Xenopus tropicalis: one gene and its partner. The protein of the gene in region 1 binds, or shares a complex with, the protein of each later gene. Links are inferred from orthologs where the notes say so. Each region holds a gene or a part of one and is shown on either strand. Other genes may lie near its edges. The genes, in order: f7 and f3.

Region 1 (3,930 bases):
GATAAGGAAGTGAGTGCTTTTCTGACATCACATCCCTCTCTTTCTCCGCCCCTCCCCAGGCCAGCCTTCTCCTGCCTTAACTCTTTCCTTCTCACCTAATCACAGTTGCACCTGGTTCTGCCAATCTCTAAACATAAACCAGTGTAATCTGGCTGCTGGTTATTCGGATCCCTTGTCATGCAGCCCCTGTGCTTATATCTCCAGGGCTTTCCTTTCCTGCAGAGACTACCCCATGGGGGAGAACCAGAGGAGAGCTTGGAGGCATCCATTTAGCATGGCAGTATAGACCCCAACCACTTGCACATATTGCATAAGGCCTTGGACTAGCATGCTAGATACTACATTTACAGACATGAAGAGAAGGTTTATTAATTTGATGCAAAAGTTTTGCATCTACACCCTCTTAATAAATGACCCCAATGACCTTAATGAGCTCTACTGACACTGTGCAACTGTTTTTGGCAGAAATTATGGTTCTCAAAATATGTTTATTCAAAAAAAAAAAAAAAAATCTCGACTCACCATCTGCAGACTCTCTATATCCACCAGCAGCATCCTGCAACTGAGCCAGACTGGCATCTTCTGCAATTTGATATGAAAGAGGAACTTGACATTACTCAAATATCTTCATACCTTAAGCCTGCTAAAAAATCATTTAAATATGGAATAAACCCAGTAGGATTGTTTTGCTTCCAATAAGGATTAATTATATCTTAGTTGGGATCAAGTACAAGGTACAGGTATTGGACCCGTTATCCAGAATGCTCGGGACCAAGGGTATTCCGGATAAGGGGTCTTTCCGTAATTTGGATCTCCATACCTTAAGTCTGCTAAAAAATCAATAAAACAGTAATTAACCCCAATAGGATTGTTTTGCATCCAATAAGGATTATTTATATCTTAGTTGGGATCAAGTACAAGGTACTGTTTTATTATTACAGAGAAAAAGGAAATCAGTTTTAAAATTCTGAATTATTTGATTAAAATGGAGTCTATGGGAGACGGGCTTTCCGTAATTCGGAGCTTTCTGGTTAACGGGTTTCCGGATAAGGGGTCCGATACCTGTACTGGTTTATAATTACAGAGAAAAAGGAAATCATTTTTGAAAATAAGAATTATTTGTTTATAATGAGTCTATGGGACACAGTATTTCCATAATTCGGAACTTTCTGGATAACAGGTTTCCGGATAACGGATCCCATACTTGTATACATTTTTTTTTTAAAAAAATATAAAACAGTACCTTTACTTGATCCCAACTAAGATATAATTAATCCTTATAGATTAATCCTTATTCATGCTTAATGCCTTAGCAAAAGGGGAGATAAGTGTAGGGAATACTGTACTGACTTTCTTCATGCCAATAAGGAACATTTGCAGTTGGGGTCATGTACAAGGCAGCCTAGGGAAAGATCACAAACTAAGGCAAAAATTATGGATAATTCATAAAGAAAAAGGTATTAAAACTTATATTGTATAAAGAAAAAGAATGACTAAAAGAGGCCTGGGCACTGACAGGGCCTAGTGCATCAGTGACTAACAGCAGCAACTTAATATACAACAGTAAAGGCATCAATAAGTGGACAGAGTCTGACAAAAATTAATCTCTGCTCATTATTAGAACTATAGTACTTCACAATGACACATAAACTTCAACTAATGGAAGGGTCAGTTCTAGGTCCCTACTGCCCTTTCCTGACAGTAATCAGGAATCATAGAAAGGCAGAAAATAAAATGCAGTTAAATGTAATATTTGAAATCCACGCAAGGGCCAACAATTCCCTTTAGCATGCACTTCTGTTTCAAGACAACTAACCCCTGCATACATGCTGCCTTATACCTAGAGGGGCACAACTTTCCAGGTATTTAACTGAAAGCTAGCTGCCTTACTGTCAGTCAAATATATATATATATATATATATATATACTCATTTATTATCAGACTGAAAATAAGAAAAGAAACATTTTAAGAAATATTTTTGTAATTAAGCCAAGGGCAGTCTATAATGCAAAAATGATACATTTTTGTGCCTATTAGTGCCACTTGGTGTCGAGCTGATCTTTAGCCAGTCCTGTTATTATTATTATTGGTTTTTATACATACCTGCAAAGGTTGGAATGTATGAAAGGACCATAAGAAAACAGAAGCAGAAAGCTTTTTTGTGCCCTGGATCCATGTTGCAGGAAATCTCTTTCTGTTATAAATCCGCCAAGGGAGAATAGTGTGTCCAAAGTTCTTTGTTTGAACATCCAGGACTGGGGGGAGGTGACTGGATGACCCTGACAGTGCTCTGTACTGGGAAGATCTGAACAACATTGGAATTGCTGGGAATGTTTAGTCATAGATCTACATTTATTGATTCACACAATGTTTCCACCATAACAAGTTCTCACCTACCTTCACTTCCTTCCTGATTTCATCTACTTCCTACCATCCAAAATCTTTAAAGGCATATGTATTTAAATATTATGCACTGGTGAGCATTGGTGTGAACTGTATTTTCACTTCACAGGATCTGCCAGAGTTTACATAAAGAAGCAAGCCATGGGTGGTACTATTCATGCTCCAGTAGGGTTCTTTAGAATGCAAAGGAATTAGAGGAATTCATGGCTTTATATATATCTTTCACATATAAAATAGTACTCTTGTTGAAATATCTATTTGTTGGAGAAACGAATATTAACATTAACAAGTTTCCTATAGTATATGTATGTACTATGTAAGTTTCCTATAGTATATGTACTGTATGTACTATGTCAGTACTATGTAAGTTCCCTTTAGTATATGTACTGTATGTACTATGTCAGTACTATGTAAGTTCCCTATAGTATATGTACTGTATGTACTATGTCAGTACTATGTAAGTTCCCTTTAGTATATGTACTGTATGTACTATGTCAGTACTATGTAAGTTCCCTATAGTATATGTATGGTGTGGGGGGCAGTGTTAGATTTGTGTCACATACATCGTTCTGAAGTCCATAAGCTCTATCTTGGTCTCATCTGAACACAAAACATTGGGTCACTCTCAGGCTTTCTGGCAGACTCCACATGTACTTTTACATGGCTTGTTTTTAGTAATGTCTTCTTTTGTGCCACACTCCCAGGGCAGTAGAGTGCATGGCAAAATAAAGGTAGACACTGTAACAAACCTATTTCACTCTGCTATTTCACAGCTTGGCTGAAAGTTGCGTTTCAGAAGGACATTATTCCCAAACACAAGCAGTTCAAGAATTAAAAGGCAAATTCACTGCAATGGCTCAGTCAAAGCCCTTAAAGCAGAAGGAAAGGCAAAGTTACTTGGGGGTGCCAAAATGTTAGGCACCCCCAAGTGACTTAAATCAATTACCTTTTACCCTGGGCTGGTGCCCCTGTTGGGAGAGAACAGCACCAGCCCGGGGTACCTGCAGCAATCGCTTCCTCCTTTCTGGTTCCGTGCGCATGCGCATGCGCAGTAGAGTGAAAAACTGAACTTTAACAGAGAAGTCGGCTTTTCACTCTACTGTGCATGCGCCTGTCATAAGTCCTTCCAAAACGAAGCCGGAAGGAGGAAGCGCATCGCTCCAGGTACCCCGGGCTGGTGCTGTTTTCTCCTAACAGGGGCACTAGCCCGGGATACGAGGTAAGTGACTGAAGTCACTTGGGGTGCCTAACATTTTGGCACCCCCAAGTGACTTAGCCTTTCCTTCTCCTTTAATCCAGTTGAGAATCTATGGTACTATTTCAAAATTGAGGTGCATACGCGTCACCCAACTTATCTAAATAATGGGAGCAAATCTGCCTGGAAGAATGGGCAAAAATTAATACTGAATAGTGTGCAAACTCGTACATACTTATCCTAAAATACTTAAAGGAGAACAATACCCTGAACAACGTAGTTCTCTATAAAAGTATATTGCATAAAGCAGCTTATATATAAAACCCTGCTT
Region 2 (3,830 bases), on another chromosome or scaffold:
ACACCCTACAGATTCTCAAATGGCAATTTTAAGAGTATTCGGGATATTTTCAACAACGACCTTACCTACACAGTTTTATACAGGAGATCTTCTAGTACAGGGAAGGTAAGTGAGCATGCTAGTATTGAGAAACATTAGTTGCCTCTATCAGGTTTTGTACCTCAGTGATTTTAACCCTTAATATAGGTACACTAAGCTAAGCTCCAGATCTGTAATAGAAAGAAAGATACTTAGGTATTTCGTTATGATTATTTAAGTATATGAGTTGTCACTTACTCATGTATATGTGAATATTATATTAGGCCCAATTCCACCGTAAAGCTATATTTTAGCTCTGTTGCTTTTTTAAATATAATGTCTGCTCATTGTTTTCTTATAGGTTTAGGGATTTCTAAATGAGCATTTTTTCTGACATGGAATAATGGGCATTTTAGGCCAGTGAAGCTTAATTCTGGGTACGCAAATGCTACATGGCTTTATCTTCTAAAATCATCCAACATTAATATTATAAGAAAAAGCAGTTTATTTGGGGATTTAGTGATAAGTGATTATCATCACTTTTCAAAGCAGTCAGAATGTCACGCATGTATTGGAAATGAATGAAGAGATTAAACTAATAATTAATAAAGTCATATATATGACGGGGTAGCTATATTATATAAGTTATGCCACTGTGGGGTTTATATATAAACACTGGGCTGTGACCCATGTCAAGCAATTGGATGTTTTCAATGTTGAATGTGATAGGCGTCAAAGATTGTAAGTTCCTCTGGAGCAGGGACTGATATGAATGATGTATATATGTCTGTAAAGCACTGTGGAAATATGCCAACGCTATATAAATTACAGGAAGTAAATAGGGTAAAAACACTAAACTGAGCTTAATTGTAGTCTGAGGCTGAGCAAACATTTAAGGTCTAACACACATAGGTAGTATTTATCTTTGCATAGCTACATTTTTAGGAGATGGATTATTTGATCTGCAAAAAATAATTATTAAATAAATATTATTCCTTTTGCAGAAACAGGAGACAAGTAATAGCAATGAGATTGTCATTAAAGTGGATCGGGGTGAGAGCTATTGCTTTTATGTACAAGCAACTATACCATCTCGCAGTCAGAACCGCGTCAGTCAAGTATCTGACGAGAAGTGCACTACTGCCAGTGAGAACGGTAGGTGTCTAATCACTAATCCATGCATCTCTCCCTACAATGTAAGCAGTGTGCACTGTTATTAGAAGGATAGATTTGCCAGTGTATAGATAATTCGGCTTTATGTGTATGTACACATATAAAGCCATATAGTTAACTATGTAACTATATACAAAAGGTGAAGTTGAGAAGATGTGCACCAATTCTTTCTTAGTACCCCTCCATTACTCACCTGTGTACTATGGAAACTGCAGTAAGGGTAAACATTGTCTGTAGACACTATTGTTCTGTAGACTTCTGGTGCACTTACAATTTGAGAAACACTAATGTATATATACTGTATGCTTTATTTTACACACTCGCAAACAGACAGTCTGATGTATTGATGGTATCAGTTTGCATCTCGGAGATCTGAATATCTGTCTATTTGAATATGCCTTTGCCTTTCAGCAGCCAGTACTATTGGTTCCCCAAGTGAATTTATATTCCTATGTGTAAGTTGACTCTGGCATGACTGCAGTGCACATATGGGAGAAGGGACCTGCTGCGTATTAGGCTTTTATTCATTCTTTGCAAGCAGCTCCTATGGGTCGATAAGACAACAGCAATACCACATCTAACCTATTGCTGTAAATGCTTTCCTCCTGTCTGGGTTTGCTGGAATAGCAACACATTGCAAAGTGATGGGTTGCCACTTTCTTCTTTTAAATGGTGTTTTCCATCTTTATTAACAAACCAGCTGCATTCTGTATAGATTTGTTGCCCTGTTGTTTGCAAAGGTGGTTGGATTTATTACAGTTAAAAAAAAAAGCTTTATAGGCTCAAATACAATCCTTTTGTAATAATAACGAGATCACATATGACATAATACGTAAAGGCAATAATGCAAGCTGTAGTATAAGAATCGTGACCATATAAAGGTAGGAGGCTGTAGGCTAGTTACCTTTATACTAATCCAACTTTATACAGACTCCAATACCTAATGTTTTGTCTTATTTACAGTAGCAGAAATATTATACATATGTGAGTGCAGGGCAAAATAATTAGCACAAAGGGCAATTTGACAGCTGAAAATGGTGGTGATCAAAACTCCACTGCCCACCTGTCCTGGACACCCTGTGAGCTGCTAGCAATAATGTTTGGAGTTCTCTGACCTATGATCACTTATCTTTATACAACCTTCGGCACTCTAACACCCATAATTAATAAAAGGAACTTTTAAAGAATCTTGCAAATGTAATGCTCAGTGGCATCAATTACCAAATATTAGGCCATGTGACAGTATGTAACAGCTAGAGGAGACATTGCTTACACTAACAGGGAGAAGCCTTGCGTTATTATATGCATTCATAAAATGCATATACTTCTTTATGTTGGTTTCAGCATGCCGGTGAACTTGGATGTTTTGACTGTGTCTAAGCTTTTTCTTTTTTGTGTTTTTCAGAGTTGGATATTACTGTATTGGTTGCTGTGATTATATCAGTGGTACTGATCATTGTGATTGTTATCGCTCTGTCTGTTATGCTGTGCAAACGTAAAAGGGCAAAGCAGGGAAAAGAGTCCAACGACGTCTTATAAGCAGCATTCCCAGCCTGTCTACACTACTAGAACCCTGCAGCTGCCCAGCACACTGCTTGCTGCTCCTGGCAGTGAATTACTCTCCTGTTTCTGTGAAACACACTGGTTCTGGAAAACCTTTATAACTGTTACAGTCAGATTCTGACTAGTTTAGAATGTAATTTTGCAAACTATTGTATGGAATTGTGTATGTATGGGAAACGCTACATTTTGAATTTCAACACTATTTTAGTATGGCTCAGGTTGGGCTTAAATTCTGTGCTAAAGAAACTGGCATAGCCAGAGGTCACTAACTAATAAGGTACAGAAAATAGGTACTTGTTTAAACAGTAGCTGGATACTGAGTCTCAGGTAAAAAGGAGGATTTCTCTTGGAGAAAAATATCAATTTTTGCACTTATATAAATTGTAATGCTGTTATCTTATGCTTGTTCATTAGACAATGTTAGGGTTCAGAATCTTATTTATGGCTACTAAGAGGTCCCCAGTTTCCATGTGACATTGGCTGCCAACAGCTGGATGAACACAAGTCTGGCCACTTTTGTGGGGACCAAATCAAAAGTGTACATTTTCATAATATAATGTCATAGTATAATATCCCATGCCATAGGCATATCCTGTGTTACTGGTACACCAACGTGATGGAGCTTGATTTATGTGATTTGTGCATCACTTTTATTTTGTGGCTTTGCCCCATGTCCTTCAGAATGACTGTATATGGGCAGATATGCCATGCATTATATTGTAGATGCAGGTGGTCTCTTTATAGTATCATGAACACTCAGTGCTGCTCCTTAAAACATGACAACATTCCTTTCCATGGAACTATTACATAGTTTTATCAAAGCACTTATAAAATGAATAGTCTATTTTTATAACTTTATAGTATTTTGCATATATATATATGTTGTTTTGGGATAGAGTTTTTTAGACTACGAATCAAGGGAATTATTTATGTATGTGATTTTATATGGTTGGTTTTATGGGTTATTATTAATATTGATTGTGTATTTGTATATTTTGGAGTAACTTATTTTAATGTGAAGGTCTTTAAATAAAGGTGAATGGGGAAAAAGTACTGAATATTTGTATCATCATTAT

The links.
Region 2: the proteins of f7 (region 1) and f3 are in contact, whole or in part, in a crystal structure (PDB 6R2W), measured with the Homo sapiens proteins. The link is inferred for Xenopus tropicalis from reciprocal best matches to the Homo sapiens genes F7 and F3. Residues at the interface, in NP_000122.1 of Homo sapiens: Leu73, Lys78, Phe91, Arg96, Leu99, Phe100, Ser103, Ser120, Lys122, Gln124, Leu125, Ile129, Cys130, Phe131, Cys132, Leu133, Pro134, Phe136, Glu137, Gly138, Arg139, Lys145, Gln148, Ile150, Val152, Asn153, Glu154; in NP_001984.1 of Homo sapiens: Thr49, Asn50, Lys52, Ile54, Glu56, Trp77, Lys78, Ser79, Lys80, Phe82, Tyr83, Glu88, Asp90, Asp93, Gly141, Gln142, Thr144, Glu162, Arg163, Thr164, Leu165, Arg167, Phe172, Tyr188, Trp190, Lys191, Ser192, Ser194, Ser195, Gly196.

What each region holds. Positions count from the first base shown.
Region 1 is NC_030678.2:116,095,527-116,099,456, forward strand, and holds the start of f7 (coagulation factor VII precursor), read right to left. Parts: upstream 2,249-3,930; 5' UTR 2,178-2,248; coding exon 2,105-2,177; intron 583-2,104; coding exon 523-582; intron 1-522. UniProt on the Homo sapiens protein: Initiates the extrinsic pathway of blood coagulation. Serine protease that circulates in the blood in a zymogen form. Factor VII is converted to factor VIIa by factor Xa, factor XIIa, factor IXa, or thrombin by minor proteolysis.
Region 2 is NC_030680.2:103,458,500-103,462,329, forward strand, and holds the end of f3 (tissue factor), read left to right. Parts: coding exon 1-105; intron 106-1,022; coding exon 1,023-1,173; intron 1,174-1,602; coding exon of another isoform or gene 1,603-1,646; intron 1,647-2,596; coding exon 2,597-2,730; 3' UTR 2,731-3,812; downstream 3,813-3,830. UniProt on the Homo sapiens protein: Initiates blood coagulation by forming a complex with circulating factor VII or VIIa. The [TF:VIIa] complex activates factors IX or X by specific limited proteolysis.